Linked DNA regions of Bombyx mori. The main gene of each other region encodes a partner of the protein of the gene in region 3 in a complex. Links are inferred from orthologs where the notes say so. Each region holds a gene or a part of one and is shown on either strand. Other genes may lie near its edges.

The links.
Region 1: inhibitor of growth protein 5 (region 3) and chromatin modification-related protein MEAF6 share a complex: the UniProt entries of both Drosophila melanogaster proteins name them as parts of the enok complex. The link is inferred for Bombyx mori from reciprocal best matches to the Drosophila melanogaster genes Ing5 and Eaf6.
Region 2: inhibitor of growth protein 5 (region 3) and peregrin share a complex: the UniProt entries of both Drosophila melanogaster proteins name them as parts of the enok complex. The link is inferred for Bombyx mori from reciprocal best matches to the Drosophila melanogaster genes Ing5 and Br140.

The regions. Positions count from the first base shown.
Region 1 is NC_085128.1:6,604,074-6,610,071, forward strand, and holds chromatin modification-related protein MEAF6, read left to right. Parts: upstream 1-1,873; 5' UTR 1,874-2,071; coding exon 2,072-2,212; intron 2,213-2,278; coding exon 2,279-2,482; intron 2,483-2,561; coding exon 2,562-2,598; intron 2,599-2,675; coding exon 2,676-3,118; 3' UTR 3,119-4,048; coding exon of another isoform or gene 4,049-4,098; 3' UTR 4,099-4,182; coding exon of another isoform or gene 4,183-4,354; 3' UTR 4,355-4,912; downstream 4,913-5,998. Other genes in the region: osteopetrosis-associated transmembrane protein 1, read right to left, coding at 4,049-4,098, 4,183-4,354, 4,913-5,145, 5,427-5,728, 5,795-5,892. UniProt on the Drosophila melanogaster protein: Component of the Enok complex which has a histone H3 acetyltransferase activity. Might be involved in transcriptional activation of selected genes.
Region 2 is NC_085122.1:5,173,166-5,178,647, forward strand, and holds part of peregrin, read right to left. Parts: intron 5,229-5,482; coding exon 5,135-5,228; intron 4,690-5,134; coding exon 4,588-4,689; intron 3,797-4,587; coding exon 3,658-3,796; intron 2,686-3,657; coding exon 2,490-2,685; intron 1,555-2,489; coding exon 1,335-1,554; intron 606-1,334; coding exon 509-605; intron 1-508. UniProt on the Drosophila melanogaster protein: Scaffold subunit of the histone acetyltransferase (HAT) Enok complex which has histone H3 acetyltransferase activity.
Region 3 is NC_085109.1:3,385,990-3,392,103, reverse strand, and holds inhibitor of growth protein 5, read right to left. Parts: upstream 3,821-6,114; 5' UTR 3,571-3,820; coding exon 2,746-3,570; 3' UTR 808-2,745; downstream 1-807. UniProt on the Drosophila melanogaster protein: Component of the Enok complex which has a histone H3 acetyltransferase activity.

The DNA.
Region 1 (5,998 bases), on a different chromosome or scaffold from region 3:
GATAAATAATGAACATATTTACTTATTTGTTTATATTACCTATGTGAACTCTTAACCTATCTTTTTTATACCTTCATAGCGATAGGTATATAGGAGGATGGAAAAAATGTATTTGGTCTAACTTTACGCGAATGCACATTATTTTATTTATTTTGTTTTTAATTTTTTTAATTAAACTGTATACCAATTAATTGATCCTTCAGGATTTATAATTGTTTTTTTTTCACGATTAAAACCGCGTAGAAAGTTTAGGCATTATAGTCACTGAGCAAGTAATCACTACGTTGACGCATGCGCCATAGATTATACACTTATGGCATGCGCAGTACACATATTTTGTATACATTTATTCAACTAATACAATTAATTAAACAAAAAATGAGTAATTTCGAAAGAGAACAAACGTATTTTATATAAGAACAATCGAAAATGAATATTTACGAGTAATTAAGGACGAAAAAATATTAAAAATTGCAATCGAGGGGCTAACTTTTAGATATATTTTTAATAATTTTTTTTAAATAAATAAATGGGGAACAAACAATTATTGACAATGAACAATCAAGAACAAATGATGAACAAACGAATTAATAGAAAATAAGTAGAAAACAGGAAAAAAAAATTTTTTTGAGGGGCTAACTTCATTCACCTCCATGGAGTACTTATTATATATCTACTTTTTTTTTATTTTATGACCTGGTAACAGAGACCTTTAGGTCATATCTTATTTGAAAAATGTGCATTACTTTGGGGTCACTACACTTCACTTCAATAAATTTTGTCATTTACATTATTTGAATTATATTTTTCATATAATTATAAATAGGTTTATCGGATGTTGGATCTTTTAGTAAAAAGTGGCGGCGGGCGAGAGGAAGAAACACATTTAATGCATTGGTATCCTCACTAGCCAGCACAAGTCTGAAATATGAAACTTTGGCAATCGAAAATAATGTGATGGATCGTCCCTTCCTTTGCTTGACAGTGTAAACATTGGTTGTTTGAAACAATGCCAAGTCCTGCTAGGTGTGACGGCGCAGTATTATGGCCAAAACTCAATCTGTTTATTGTTGTAATGAAATCTCGACTCTCACTAGTTTTCAATTTGTCATTCTTTTTGTATGGCAATTAACTTTATACGAAGCCTTTGTTTACAGTCTCGAAGTATTAAAAATCTTCAATCATTACATACTCTCATATAGATTCTGAAATTTGAAAAATGAAATGAAGCGAAATTAGATGAAGTTGATTTCTTTTAGACTTTAACCAATTGGGATGAAATCAAATGAAACCGGATGAAATAAAGTCACGGTAAAATGGAGGTTATTTACCGAGACTTTGTGAATTTTCTGGAAGAACCGAGAAGCTACGTTCAGCGGCTTTGTTTCATTTTTCCACATCTATGCACTTTCACAGATATTAAACAATTAATAAACCACCGTTATTACATATTTAAACCCAAAGAAACACTAAATAGACAAAATAAAACAAATCACACAACTTCACTTCCCGCCAAAAAGACGTTTAAGTAATACCGTACTTGTGTGCCTTTACACAGATATTTTTTCTCTTAGTTTTATCCTCGAAAAAGTCCACTAAAAAATCTCAGTGAACGACCACCATTTTACTGAGATTATATTTCATCCCATATCATCTCATCTCATTTCATTTAATTTCATCCCAGTTAATTAATGTCTCAAATCAATCAACTCCATTTTATTTTATTTCACTCCATATTATCATTTTTCATAAAAATAAGAATATAAATTAAAATAAGACATGATCTTAAGGTCTGAGTTACCAGGTCAGAAAATCCCATAAAAAAATTGAGTATACAAATTACAATAATCTGTGGAAGACAAGGCTTTATGTGCTTAGATCCCTTGCCTTTCTTAAAAGGAAAAATTGATTAAAATTGTATCAAAAAAATCTGTGGAATTTAAGGCAACAATTGCTAGAATAATAATTTGCGTTTTTGGAAATAAGTGGCACATTTCTGTTCAGAAAAAATACGCCTGTCTTAAGTGATCTGTTATGGAATTATAAAACACAAGTAACAACAATCATCAGCATGGTTATTTCACCACAAAGCCCCATTGATGACGCTCAAAGTGTGCAAACCAAAAGAACCAACATGGCTACTAAACAATCTTCAGTAGCCGATACTAGAGCTGAACTAGCTGAATTGGTCAAACGGAAAGCTGAAGTAGCTGTAAGTAGACATAATGACAGTCCTTTTGAGCATTTAATCTACCCTTCCTAATGAAAATGTTTACAGGAAACTTTAGCGAACTTGGAACGTCAGATTTATGCATTTGAGGGATCATATCTGGAAGATACTCAATTGTATGGAAATATAATTAGAGGATGGGATAGATACCTCACAACGAACAAAAGCACTAATTCCAAAGCTGACAAACGTAACAGAAAGTTCAAAGAAGCAGAAAGATTGTTTTCTAAATCTAGTATTACGTCTATGGCTGTAAGTTAATCTTTAAGTGAATTATTCTGTTTTATAACGTCTTAAAATACGATAACATAAATCCATTAAATTATTTCAGGCTGTTAGTGGACTTGTAGATGCTGCTGAAGCTAAAAGTAAGGATATTGAAACTGAAAATAATCAACTCACGACCGAAATATATTTTATTTTTTATAACAATTCCTTATTTCAGATGAAAGAAATAGTGAAACTGAATCGCAAACTAATGAAGACTCTTCAGACACACAGATTAGTTCAAATCTCAATCTTGGAGGTCTTAACCATACGACAATTCATGGTTCCACTGAAAGCATTGCTTCTAAGCCATCTGGGAAACAAAATACTAATGGAACATTAGATAAAACATTAACTAGTGCTCAAACAAAACAAACAGCTACACAAAAAATAGCTACTGCATCTGGCATGCTCCAGAAGGCATTTAGTAGTGAAAGTAAAATATTATCAGGAATGGGACTTGATAGTCGACCTGGCACACCAAAAGAAAAGGAATCTAATGTAAACATTATTAATAAAGTTGATTTAACACCAAACTCACTAAAACACAAAATGTCTAGTAGCGGAAGCAGTAGTAGCGGCAGCATCAAAAAGAACAACAAGAAAGCTAGGCACAGGTGAACATTATGCACTCTATCATGTTAATGGCAGATTTTAGTAGGTGCTAGTCTGAAGATTTATGCTGGGTGTAAGGAAACCATTCCCATACTGAAATATTAATATGATACAAATACAGTACATACATAAACATAGTGCAGATATTTAAACTTAATGCGAACAGTATATTGACTCTTCAAAAGCAAACGTGACTAAGCGACAATAACTGCTTTATACTTAAATGATAGGCAATAACCATATTCAATGCGCAAAAAAAAAATTACTTCTAGGTCTATTATAATCATTTCAATCATACAGCTAGATTTGTTAAAATATATTTTTTTTCAGGTATTTCAACTTTAAATTAGTCTACTGTAAAGTTCATGCATTGTCGCTTAGTCACGTTTGCCTTTCAAGTGTTGATATATTCTAATTCTGCATTAAAAATTCGAAAAAAACATAACTTTACCATTTGTCCCATATATCATTATTAAGTTATATATTATAAATGAGTCGTCTATTATCAAAGGCGGCAATCTGTACATTTGGACAAAATTTTTTTATTGATATGTCAATACAGATTTATTTGAATATAATCGTCTCCTTCAAAGAATACGGTTCAAAACCTGCATTAAATAAAGGTTAATAGTTAACCTGTTATTTATCTAAGATGTCGTTCCGAAGAGTTTTGTGACTGCCAATGGAATACAAAGTCAATAATTCGTTTTTCTGATTTACCAATCATTGTCCAAAAGTCAGATTGCCGCCTTTGATAATAGTCGACTCAAATGTCATTTAATGTTACTAAGAGCAATGTTGTAAAGTGTAATTTAATGTTTTTTGTAATAGTTCTCAACACTCCTTGTAGCAATGAAACAATATGTATTCTTTTTAACTAATGTTATTGTATAAAAATAAATAATGAATTGTTGATTTACATAAAAATATTGTGACCTAATTGATACCATTAACTGTTCTTAATATCCTTTGTTTGAATCTTGATTCTGAAATTATGTTTTGTTTGTATTAGTAAAATTATACCAAACAGGACATGATAAATAGATATTAAATGAGAAACTGATACATACGCTTTAAAATATTAGGTAAGTCCTTAATTGGTCCACAATATTTCACCATAATATAATACAAAACTGGTAAGCATGCAATAATTCCAGAACAACACAAAAATATTATTTCTGGAGACTTTCTCAATTTACAACAGTTTAGGCTTTTGCTCCATATTGATCTAGTTGCATTCATCTGAAATGATAAGGTAAATCATTATATTTTTAGTTTATTTTTTTGAAGTTGAGTCTTTATATGAGAAATCTCAGTATTCTCTATCAAATCTAATATTTTATTGCATAAATGTGTTAGCAAGCTCGTATTATAACCAGTAACAATAGATATCACAATGTGCACGCTGGCACCTGGCAAATGTGAGGCTTTTGTATTGTGATTGTATGATATAATTATTGTCCTATCCTTCCAAAACACAACACATTACTGCTCCTTGCCAGAAACAGGCACGGTGCTTGTAGTAGGCACTGTAGGTTTTGCATGTTCCCAAAAACTTTACCACTATTTATATTTCTTATTACTATTACTCCATCATAAAAAATGGAAATTGGCCTTTGATGTCAACTATGGCATAGTTTGTTGCATTCATGTGAGTAAATTGGCTGACAATAATTGGTGTTCATTATGACTTATATTTTATGTAAGAAAAAATATTATGCATTATAGACATCTATTTGCATTTGCAAGTAAATTAAAAGAATTACTTGATTACTTCATTGTTACAATTAGTGTACTTACAGAATCAATAACATCCATGCATATAATATCCAGCCCTATTCTGTCAAAACTAAGAGATTCATAATAGTTATTCAGCTGTATGTAGCTCTGCATACAGTTCTCACACACTTTTGTACTATTCTCTTTGGGATTTATATTGTCTTCAATACATTGCATTGTTTCATTAAAAATTTGATAAAAATGGTAAGTTTTATTTGAAATTTCTGGTTTATCTTTAGTCCAGTTAAAACAATCTAAAATGATAAAATAAACATAAACAGACATGTATCTCATGCATTGCATTTAAGGAACCTTACTAGATAGCTCTCACTCTACTTTTATTCAGATACTTATAAAAGAAATAAAAAACAAAAGCATTAAAAGTTTTCACCGGGTAACATAAAATAAGGAAATGTATTTACAAAAAAAAATTGGAAAATCTTTACGTTGGCACAAACAAAATAGTGTCAACCATCTCCACAAGAATGACTTGCTTGAACTTGCAAGTTTTTTAATATACAGAATATATACGTACCATTACAATTTCCTTTGTTCCAAATAGCTAATATGTTATCATGATAATTCAAAACCACCTCTAATCTATCATGAGAAATAAAGATGGTTTCACATGAAGTTCCATTTAAATTGGTTTGAAGTAAATTTTTATAGCTCTCACGAAATTTTACATAATGATCAATACATTTTTCACATAGTCTTATCGGTCTCGCATGTTTGATTGAGCATTTTGTAAAATTAGATGCAGAATCCGCAAATTCATCAAGTAATTTCGTACAAATACTAGGATTCGCAAACAAATACCCCTCACCATTGTATTTTCTGAAAATTATTATTCATGTTACTCGGGCAAACGATAACTATGAAAATTTCCACCCCTAAACATACAATTTATAGCTTGTTACAGGCAATTCCTTTCCATCTCGATAATCTGCAAAATTACCGTGAGCAAACATCACAGCTAAGAAAAAATACACTGTTGTCATAGTTTTTTTTTTATGCAATGTTTTAATGTCTCCGTAATTTAATTTTAAAACAATTTTTTGTTATGATTAGATTTCAATTTGGTTAGCATAGACATGTCAAAATCAG
Region 2 (5,482 bases), on a different chromosome or scaffold from region 3:
GAAATTGTGTGATTTGTTTTATTTTTAGCCGACTTCAAAAAAGAAGGAGGTTCTCAATTTGACTGTACGTTTTTTTTTATTTTATGTTTGTTATCTCATAACTTTTGACTGGGTGAATTGATTTTGATGATACCTCTGTGGGAATATTAAATTTATCTTTTATCTTTATAATGATTGCATCCGTTTATTGGTTTTCAATTATGGAGATGTTAACCGAATTTCAGACGTTAACGCAGCCTCCATTCGATCCGGAACGCATAGGTGTGTCACGATAAAAATCAACGAAATAGTGGTACCACTACCACACAAAAACAGACGTGGCGGATTTGGTTTTTATTCCACGCTGTTATTGCTTAATTAAAAATTTTTAGTCCCGTCATGTTTGAATCAATCGATACGAACGCTTCAAATAATTTGAATTAGTTATTTTTTTTTTATTATTATTATTGTCAAGCTCTCGAAAATGTATGTAACCAATAAAAGTTAAAATAAAACCCTTAAAAATCACCTTGCGCGTTCCAAATCTTGTCGTATTCTCTGCCAATACTTCAACTGATTACACAGCTCTCGTACATTGACAGCTGCGTCTTGTATGCCTCTACTGCCTGTAAATAATAATAGAATTTAAAAAAAAATAGGCTAGTCATATTGGTTCAAAAACTGAAGAAATACAACGTGGTATAAATCTATATAAGTATTTATAGGTTTATTGATCATAGGTTTATTGATCTTATTGGTTTGTTTATCTTTTTTGGGTTGCAAAAGCATAAGATTGTGATGAAAAATTTTGCAATTGTCTCAAGGTACTATAACTAACGCGAGAGTAGTCTTGAGAGATCCATAGCTAGCCACAGCGAAGCGTAAAGTGGTTTAGCTGGTCTATACTAATATTATAAAGCTGAAGAGTTTGTTTGTTTGAACGCGCTAATCTCAGGAACTATTGGTCCGATTTGAAAAATTCTTTCAGTGTTAGATAGCCCATTTATCGAGGACGGCTATAGACTATATACCATCATGCTAAGACCAATACAAGCGGAGCACCAATAAAGAATATTTCAAAATCGGGTTTTTTTCCCTTTTGAAAGTATCCGCCGCGTGCGCTGCAGAAAAGGTTAAAGTTTTGCTAAAATAATGTATGACAGAATTGTTCCCCTTAAAAAGGTCTAAAAAAAGTCCGCCATAGCATACCTATGTCTATATGTTAAGGTTGGCTGACTAAAATGTTTTTTATGCTAACCAAATTTGTTCTAAAATAAAGCATTATTTGTGAGCTATTCCACGCGGACAAAGTCGCGGGTAAAAGCTAGTACATATATAAATATATGAAAACTCACCATGATTGGTCGTCAAGCTCTGCAGTCTCCTCAACAGCGGCACACCGTTCCTGCTGTGCCGTTTCAGGGTCCAGTAAGCGAGGAGTCGCTTCATGAGCTGGGCCCTGGCGGCGGGCGGACCCTGGGCCAACTGGGCCACGTCCGCCACGCGCTCGGCCGGCAAAGTCGGTACTAACACGACCGGGGCCCAAGTTCGTTTCATTGCTAACACGCGACGTGCCTACGGTTAAAATTATAAACATTAGTTTTTACTGATGGTAGGACCTCTTGTGAGTCCGCACGGGTAGGTACCACCACCCTGCCTATTTCTACTGAATTTCTATTGGAGCAGTATTGCGTTTCGGTTTGAAGGGTGGGGCAGCCATTGCAAGTATACTGCGACCTTAGAGCTTATATCTCAAGGTTGGTGGCGCATTTTACGTTGTAGATGTCTATGGGCTCCAGTAACCACTTAACACCAGGTGGGCTGTGAGCTCGTCCACCCATCTAAGCAATACAAGCAAAAGCAGCAATACAAGCAATACAAGCAAAGCAAAAGCAAAATAAGCAAATACAATTCAAATGGTTCAAGTCATTGAGGATTCGGTCAATGAAAGTAAAATAAATGAAGGAAATCTTGGTTATTATGTACATGATAATTTTTTTACTAGTGGTTAGGACCTTTTGTGAGTCCGCGCGGGTAGGTACCACCACCCTGCTTATTTCTGCCGTGAAGCAGTAATCCGTTTCGGCTTAAAGAGTGGGGCAGCCGATGTAACTATACTGAGATCTTAGAACTTATATCTCAAGGTGGGTGGCGCATTTACGTTGTAGATGTATGGACTCCAGTAACCGCTTAACACCAGGTAGGCTGTGAGCTCGTCCACCCATCTAAGCAATAAGAAATCTATACTAATATATAAATCTACAGTGGTTTTTACGGATGTTCCGTTATAACTATTGAACCATACATCCGATTGACTTGAAACTTAGTATCCATGTAGAAAATACATGTACTTAATGGATAAGCTAATATTTACACGAGTGTTGGACTCCCTACATCGGTTGCGGGGGCGTTAATGATCGAGAATCTTTGTGGGGGTGAGAAATAATAATGTTAATTTTAAATGCCCAGCGAAGCGGACGGGTACAGCCAGTACAATAAATAAAAAGAACCTGTTTGATTTTATCCCGTCCTTTCTGTCTCACTGCATTGAGGTCGTTGCATTTAGAATCGTTGTCCGAGTCCCTGGCTCGTCTCTCTTGTAGGACATGCGCCGGAGTGTGCGCGTCGCAGTACGCCATTTTCGCTACCTGAACCGGCTGGCTTGGGTCCCGGCCAGATCCGGCCGCTTCCATTTTCATATAAAGTCTGGGGATGTTTTTAGAGACATTTTTATGAATTTCATTTGCGATGTCATCACGGCCTAAAGGTTAAGGCGCCTTGTGAATTCGTATCGAACGATGCGACTGTGTCGATGTTCGAAACTCACAGACCCGGTACCAATTTTTCTAATTAAATACGTAATTAACAGTTGTTCACAAACGACTTCCAAGATGAAAGAATAACATCATCGTATAATATAAATAAATAAAACATTGCACGGAAGGATGGTAGCAATCTCCAGAGGCTCATCGTGACCGGTAAGGTAGATGGGAAAAGACCTCGGGGGCGTAGCCCAATATGTTGGTCCGACCAGATCCGCACCGCTCTTGATTCCACATTTCACAACGCCCTCCACACCACCAGAGACAAGAATAAATGGAGAAAGATCGTGTGTGCGAGGTAATAAAAAAGGGTGGTTACGACCCTCAGCAGTGAGGAATACAACGCAAGGAGGATTATAAATAAAACCCGTAAAAATATATTTTGCGTAATTACTGGTGTTAGAGCATACACTGGGGCCATATGGGTAGGTACCACCACCTAAATAGCCCAAGTTATCCCAATTTATTCCATGAAGCAGTAATGTGTTTCGGTTTGAAGGCTGAGACAGCCATTGTACTGTAACACTGAGACTTAGAAGTCATGTCTTAAGGTGAGTAGCGGCATACGTTATTGATGTCTATGGGCTCCGGTAACCGCTTAACACCAGGTAAGCCATGAGCTCGTCCATATAAGCAATAAAAAAAGGAAAAAAAATTACTTTGATCTCATATCAAGATATGTAGAAACATTTACATTATGTTGTCTATGGACTCCAGTAATAGATTATACTAGATAAATCGAACCATAATATAGTTATCTTTTTTTTAATTCACATTAGGGACTAGCTCTTGTCTCGCAATAAACGTAGTTTATTTGAAAAATGAATTTGTATTCAATTCTAGTACCGGTACTTACCCAGCTTGTTGTGCACAAGTCACATGAAAAGCTGAATAACAGTTACTCTTATGACACTGTATGCAAGAGCCAACTCCCCTCTGCTTGCAAACCATACATTGTAACTTCCAACGAGCCGCCGGGATCATTTCAATTGAATCTGTGATATAATACGTAGTTAATAATCTTGTTACCGGTGTCAGTATTTTAACAAAGTTATCAAAACATAGTCATAAAACCCGACAACAACCCAATATCAGAGAGGTCTAGCTCTGTATCATTACACTTGATGTGACTGTCATCTATCTTAGGTAGTGTTAGCAAATCCTTCCAGATTCAGCCCCGTGAACCAACCCGACTATGCATGCTTGGAATAGCCACGAAGGCTACCAACGATTAGGTGGGTCTTTAAGCTTACAATACTTAGTATCATAAATTCATAATTAGGAAGTATTTTATAATTAAGCTAGTAGATAGAGACTGAATATTTTTTATCACTGAGGTGACCTATAAGGTTGAATGACTATGAGAACGACTTATCAAATTAAACATTTCAAATTACGATTGACTATAACATATTCTTATCAGTTATAATGGTACAGAACAGTCTTATTCCAGTTCAAGGAAGCAAAAAGATAATGACTATTTGCAACCATTTGTAATTTTTATTTTATTAAATAATTTTTGATAATAATAATATAATAAGCTGTATAAATAATAAATATGTTACTTGTATAATAAAATGTTTTTCATAGATTAGATTAAATTTCGTGCTTTAGACTTTCAGAGATTTTTATAAATTTCCCTCATTACCCTAATTCACATCCTAAAAATATAGTAATTTGGTATTCATTGGTATTTTTTTCCACAATTCATAACATAGTTATTTGTAAAAATTATACTATAGAATGAATTTTATAAAAAGTTATCCAAATGTATTTTCACACTCACCAATTGGTTCCAGAAAGACTGTATTAGCAAATCGCACTTCCGGTATCCACAATGCACACACAACATGAGCCCAAGTTCCCTGATCTGTTTGTTTGAATGCTCCTGCAATATGATTATGGAATGAAATAAAATCTCTAAACATAGAATGATTTAAATGAACATTACTATATGTACAGGGTGTATTGCAAGTGTTGAATAACTTTATATTATCTGTGCAACACCGGTTTGACTGACAGACAATTGAACACAAGTAAAATGTTCTCACAGCTGTGAACTCCTATCAGCTGTCTTCATTATATCTAGGTAGTGAAACTACAAGCATTAAATGTGCTTCATAAATGACCTAGTTCTACAATAATTTTAAGACATTAATCTATTTCTGTCTATGGTTGAATCATGAACTATGTGTTAACTAAATTGACAAGTCATACGGAGATATCAAAAATAACACTTTTTTTTTTATTTGATATTGTTGTTTACTGCATTAGAGACTGTATTGTATTGATATTAAATAATACTCGGCTACAAAATTTTACTTAACACAAACCTCCAGTATTGGGACATAATACACAGTTGACAAGGCGGGATGGTGACTGCAAGCACCGCCTGCAGAGCCACTGTCCCTCAGGTATGTATGGCACCTATAAAGAAATATTTAAACTATAATGCCTTTTTTTGCATAGATAAGTTTATTAATTTTTTATTTATTGCTTAGATGGTTGGATGAGTTCACAGCCCACCTGGTGTTAAGTGGTTACTGGAGCCCATAGACATCCACAACGTAAATGCGCCACCCACCTTGAGATATAAGTTCTAAGGTCTCAAGTATAGTTACAACGGCTGCCCCACCCTTCAAACCGAAACGCATTACTGCTTCACGGCAGAAATAGGCAGG
Region 3 (6,114 bases):
CGCCTGTTGTGTGTTTGTGTTTGTACTTGAAGTCCTTTCCAGAAGAAAGTATACCCGCCACTGTGCTCTACCAGCTCCCTTTCTTCTGGAAGATGTGTTTTGCTGAGTGCAGCCACATCAATATTATGGCGATGAACCTCCCGAGCTACAATGGCAGTCTTGCGTTCGGGACAGGAACTTACCTCACGGTCAAGGAGTCTACGCACATTCCACGCGCCAAACGTCAGTGACGTTGATTTACTAACATTATTTTTCCTATGGCTTCAACCGCGAATTTTAGATGCGAAGGCTGCCGCGGTTGCTACCCTCCATAAGGGTTAGAGTGAGCATTTGTTTAGGACACCTTTTCTAGCCCCCTCTCCGGCTGAGCGAGGAAAGCAGTGCCTCCCTGAATAGGGCTGCTTTGTCACCCCGGGTGTTGCCGAATCCGCTCTATCACCCCAATGCAGAACAAAAGCGACCACGCAAGCAATATTACACCCGCAGGGACACCTACGTGTAGATGTCAGACAAAGCCCAACCTGCATCACGTCAAGCCTCTCTCCTTTCACCCATCGCCGTAGGACTAATCTGAAATCAGAGTCCAAAGCGGTCAGTTGCGCAGGATATATTAACGTGCACAAGCGTGTGCAAGAGATACAGGTGCACATACTCGTCCTTATCTTTCTAGACCCAGTGGAACGGGGATTGTTACGACTAGAGAAAGACTCGAACAGATGGATGGTGCTATTCTAGCCCGCCGGCACCAAGCGGCCTGCGTTAAAGGAACATACTCATAAATAAACAGGTTCAATGATAATTAACATATTATTTTAAAATAAAATTTAATCATGTAAATTATTTGATTATATTTTACAATCTTTTCAAAATCATTTATTGGTACTACATTTACTGAATGTCTACATTCAACTTATTGAGTTAGCTATTTGATTAAAAACAAGTGATAAAACAAATTGAGCACATTTAAATAATGAAATACAATCAAAAATTCTACTGAACGATTTAAAACAACGAAACTGGAAGCATATAATAACAAACATTTAATATTTAAAAAACTCTACATTTCTAGCTAATACATACAAAATCTACTACAATGTACAGTTCAAAAAATTCTAATTACAATATGTACTTATTACATTATATTCAGTATAAATTTGCTTCAATTGACTGCCATAACTTGTTTCAATATTTAATTTCACTATCTACATATATCAAAATTTACTGTTAGAAAAATAAAAAATAAATTAATTTCAATCTGGTTAAAGAAAGAATTCCACATGATCACGACCGCTCTGCCAAGAGCAACAGACTATGATGAAAGAAAGACTTTGAACCAAGCCCTTTTTTTATGATTACAGTAATGAGGGTGAACGTAAAATGCCTGGCACTATTAATATAGGAGGGACGTGCGAGAGTGTAATGAAATGTTCCCAATTTGCGTGCATACTTTAACCAATTTTGAAATATAAATTTGTCTCTTTTACAAAACTAATTTCCGATGCATTTTCACAAAAGATTATTTTATAAATCATATTAGGGCAGAAAGAAGTCAAAAGAGATGAAAAATTGTAAAAGCTCAAATTGATTTTAATAAAATCCTTATCTCCTTTTCTCCATTTCAATAATGTGATATAGCTAACACAATTATTTGGTTTTTAATCTTATTAAACTAAAATAATCTTAATACAATTGTGCTTAGCCATGATCAATACTAGCAATACATATAACTTAATATGCAACTGCACACCAATCTTTCATATTCAAAAGCTTTAAGAACATGAAACTTTACTTTCAGAACTTAATTATTACAGCTGAAAATATTTAATTCTGTAATGGGGCTTTATGTTTTGTCAAAATCTAATCTGTTTTTTAAAAAGCCCTTTATACAATTCAACAAACGCATGGATTGTATATCACGTTTAGCTAAAACTGAGTTACAAAACGTTATTTCTTGCACCTGTCAAATTATCTCAGTATCAAACTGGAATTGATCTTGTTTATTAGATAGCTTTCAGATGACATACATATATAGGTAAATACTATAAATTTTGCATTCAATTATAATTTTTTAATTTTATTTAAGACACCACGTAGGTACTTAAATCCAAATTTATACAATATTTTGAAAATAAATTCAATGAAATATATGTACATTTGTTTATTTGTGTTTAACAAATTATTTCAACAATTACTTGATAGCTGTATAAATTGTAAAATGGTGTTAATTTATTGTCATGTTTTCATTTCTATAAAATAATAGAAATTGTTTTCAGTAAACAATGTATTAATGATGCATTTTAAGATGTATTTAATGCCTTTATAATTTGAGAATATATTATGCAATATTAATGTAATATTTCAGATTCTGCAATAATCTATATTTAATTTATTGGCACTACAGCTTCAAGTAGTACAGTCATGAGTCCTACTATCACACATAACAAAACAAATCTATTGTTTTTAAAAGATCTACCTTTTGGTTTCAAGTGATTAAAATGTCACTGGTAAGGTGTTAATGACGTATCACTTTATGAATGCAGTAAGATTTATTTAATGTCATATGACTTACACAACAGTATGGACTCATTAGACTACAATAACTATAATAATAATAAAATCACAATTCCTTATATGGTTGGGAGTTATATATTATTATTATATTTTAATTTTTATAGGAAGTCACTTCACCTCTTTCTTTAGAGTAACAGTCTTATCTGTGGGTTTCAAAGGTGGTTTAGCTGTGGATCATTTCTTTTTTCTATCCTGAGTGCACTTAGGGCAGTACCATTTACCCTTAGGTTTAATTTTCAGATCAACACAAGCAAAATGGAACCACTCAATTGGGCAATCTGGGTTATCACAACCAATCATTTCACCATATGAAACTTGATGACACAGACAGTATGTTGGTTCATTAGGATCCACCGGCATGTCTAGCACATCACTGGGGTGTGCCATGCCGGCCACTGAATCCAAATCGGCAGTCTCTTCCTGTTCTTTTGTAACATTTGTTGTGGTGGTGGTACCTTTACGCTGAACTTTCTTCTTCGCAGCTGACCTTCCGGATGCGACAGCGTCTTCTTCACTGGAGGCCCCGGCACGCTTCTTTTTACCAGTCGTAGCAGCTGCTTTCTCAGTACCTTTATGCTTTTTCCTACCTTTTTTAGCTGTGGCCGGATTTGTTTCCTGATCTGCAGCAGCCTGTTGAGCTGCACGAGCACTCATTACTTTCTCTTGTATTTCAGACTCAAAACGCGCGAGGTCAGAATCAAGTCTACGTATATGCTTGTCTACTAATTCGTAGGTCTGAATTGCAAGTTGCACTTTATCGTCTCCATACTCTTTAGCTTTATTGAATAATCCTTGAATAGTGTTCACCTTTTCTTTTTTTGTTTCTTCATCCATTTTTGGAATACTTGGAAGCAACTCATCGGCCATAAGGTCAATGGTTCTCATTAACCCGTGAGCGCGGTCATCCAAATCTCTCATCAACTTGAAGTTTCTTTGCAGTTCAATCGGCAAGTGCTGTAGACTGTCCAAATAATGCTCCAAATAAAGAGCAGAAGTCATTTTGATAAAATTTGTGCGTGCGACACTTTGACGATAAAATGAAAGTAGTTTAACAGAAAACTCAAATGTTTACCTTATAGGTATGTCTAGAAAAATATTTTCTATCACTATTCATAAACTTAACTATACGGTACTGCTAATGCTCTTTTGTTTTATAATTAAAATTCAAAATCTAAGAACACTTCATTACAATTCACTTGCAATTTTCTTTCAAGCTCAAACAAGCGAACATTTCAATGTTGCCATGTTTTACACTAATAGATTCTTCGTTTCCTGATTAGTGATTAGTTTTAATTTGTACGTATGTACCTACCAAAACCTATTTCCTGCAAGAGTGATTCAAAATTAATCAAATAATAATTAGGTACCTGTATACATATTTGTACCATTAATTTGCAAAGTAATATATTTATAATAAAAAAAAACTGTTAAAAACAATAATTTTTTGGAGTTTACTCCTTTAGAATCGATTTACATATATAGGCCCGGGGTATGAAAATTATGGGGACCAAAATCGTACTAGCATGTCACACGAAATGCGTTATGCGCCTGATTGGCTCCTGATTGCGTGATGCGTGCGCGCGCCAATCAGGAGCCAACGCGCGGCCGCGTTATCGCAGGTGACGCCGGGCTGCTGCGCCGGCAGTCCGCCACAAAGCCTCGTACTGATCGCGCGTTTCTCTCATTATTGTATTTTCATATATTTGTTAGTCGTTTGTTTTGTGTCTCGTTAATTTGTTAATAATCTGTAGTGTATCGTGTTGTCGTAATATAGAACTATTTCTCGTATTGTTTCGTTTAATTTTTTATATCCAGTAAACTCCAGTCGTGCGTCGGAGCGGACACACACACTTTTTTTATTGAAATCTTGTGTGTCACGTACGTTTTTACCAAACAGAAACAATCGTTACTAATTTGATTTGCCTACATATCTGCCAGTAGCCTCGAGGGGCTGTTCTGACTTCACCTTGAGCTCACGGGTCACTCAAATTTTCCTGAAATCTGCCCTAACAAGAGCAGTGTTTCCCTGAATCTGCCACGGGGTCGGAATCACGACACACTGAAAATACCTCGCGAGAAACTCAGAAATCTTCGTCGCATTTGACGAATTTACGAGAACGGGACGGGCAATCGCTATTTTTATTAGGTCATGTTATTGTACGATAATAATGTCAAGCAATAAATTGTTATTCAAAATTAGAAATTGAATCTTTTGGATACCTTTTTGTTTTACACCTAAAAGAGTAAAATGATCAGATCGTGGCCTAATAAACTTCCTTCCTTGTGTTGCAAATTGCAAGTTTACATTAAAACTCATAAGCAATTTTCTCACGCTCGAAAAATCCGTAATAATTTAATTTTAGGAAAAAAATTAACTAGCTTCTTAGATGAGTATTTAGACTTATCGGGAGACCTGTTTTAATATCATAAACATTCCAACCACTATGAGTGACTACTAAAGAAGTGAAAATTAAAGAAATGGGTGGTAGTGAAAATTTGTTTTGATATCGTTTCCCACAAAATATCGAATCGTCCATCGAATAATCAAAACCTGCTTGCTATACGTACGAAATTTGATCTTTATTTAATTAATATTCTTTTCCTTTTTTTTAAGGGATTTTATGACCTGGTATCTAAGACCTTTAAGTCATGTCTTATTTTAATTTATATTCATATTTTTACGAAAAATTATAATATGAAGTGAAATGAAATGAAATGGAGGTGGTTAATTTGACACATTAATCAACTGGGATGAAATTAAATGAAATGAGATGAGATGATATGGGATGTCATATAATCTCAGTAAAATCGTGATCAATTACTTACTGAGACTTTTTCAGTGGACTTTTTGGAGGATCCTGAGAAGTTACGTTCAGCGGCTTTGTTTCATTTTCCCACATTTGTGCACTTTCACAGACATTAAACAGTTAATAAACCACCGTTATTACACATTTAAACCTGAGGAAAAACAAAATAGACAAAATAAAAGATCACACAACCTCACTCCTCGCGTTCCCGCCAAAAAGTCTATTCTTTTCCTGAATATTGCTATTGCTGCCAGTGTCGACTTTGTAAAAACTATAGCAAAAGAAATGACGTTCCAATAAAATGGTTGAAATTTATTGAGAATTAAATGGCCTTTTTTGCACTCACAATTTTACGCTTTCACTGATGTTAAACGTTAAATAAGCCACCATTATAGCATGTTCAAAGCTGAAGAAACACTAAATGTAAATTATACAATTTACACTGCGATTCTTGCGTTCCCACCAAAAAGTGGTCGATCAGCTTTCTTGTTTCAAATTTCAAGATATTTACGGTCATTAACTAGTCGCCTTTTTAGTCAATATTAGCTGTTTATGAGTTGTCTTTACTTTCTATAGCCAGTAAAGTAGGAATGAAAAAGTATTGTAGGTACCGCATTCACACTCTTCAGACTCACTGTCTATGCCCTAAACTCGTCCAAATGGATCGACTCACTCCACATCCATACACTCGGTACTGTTGCACTGTTCTAACCATAGATTATACACTTAATATGGT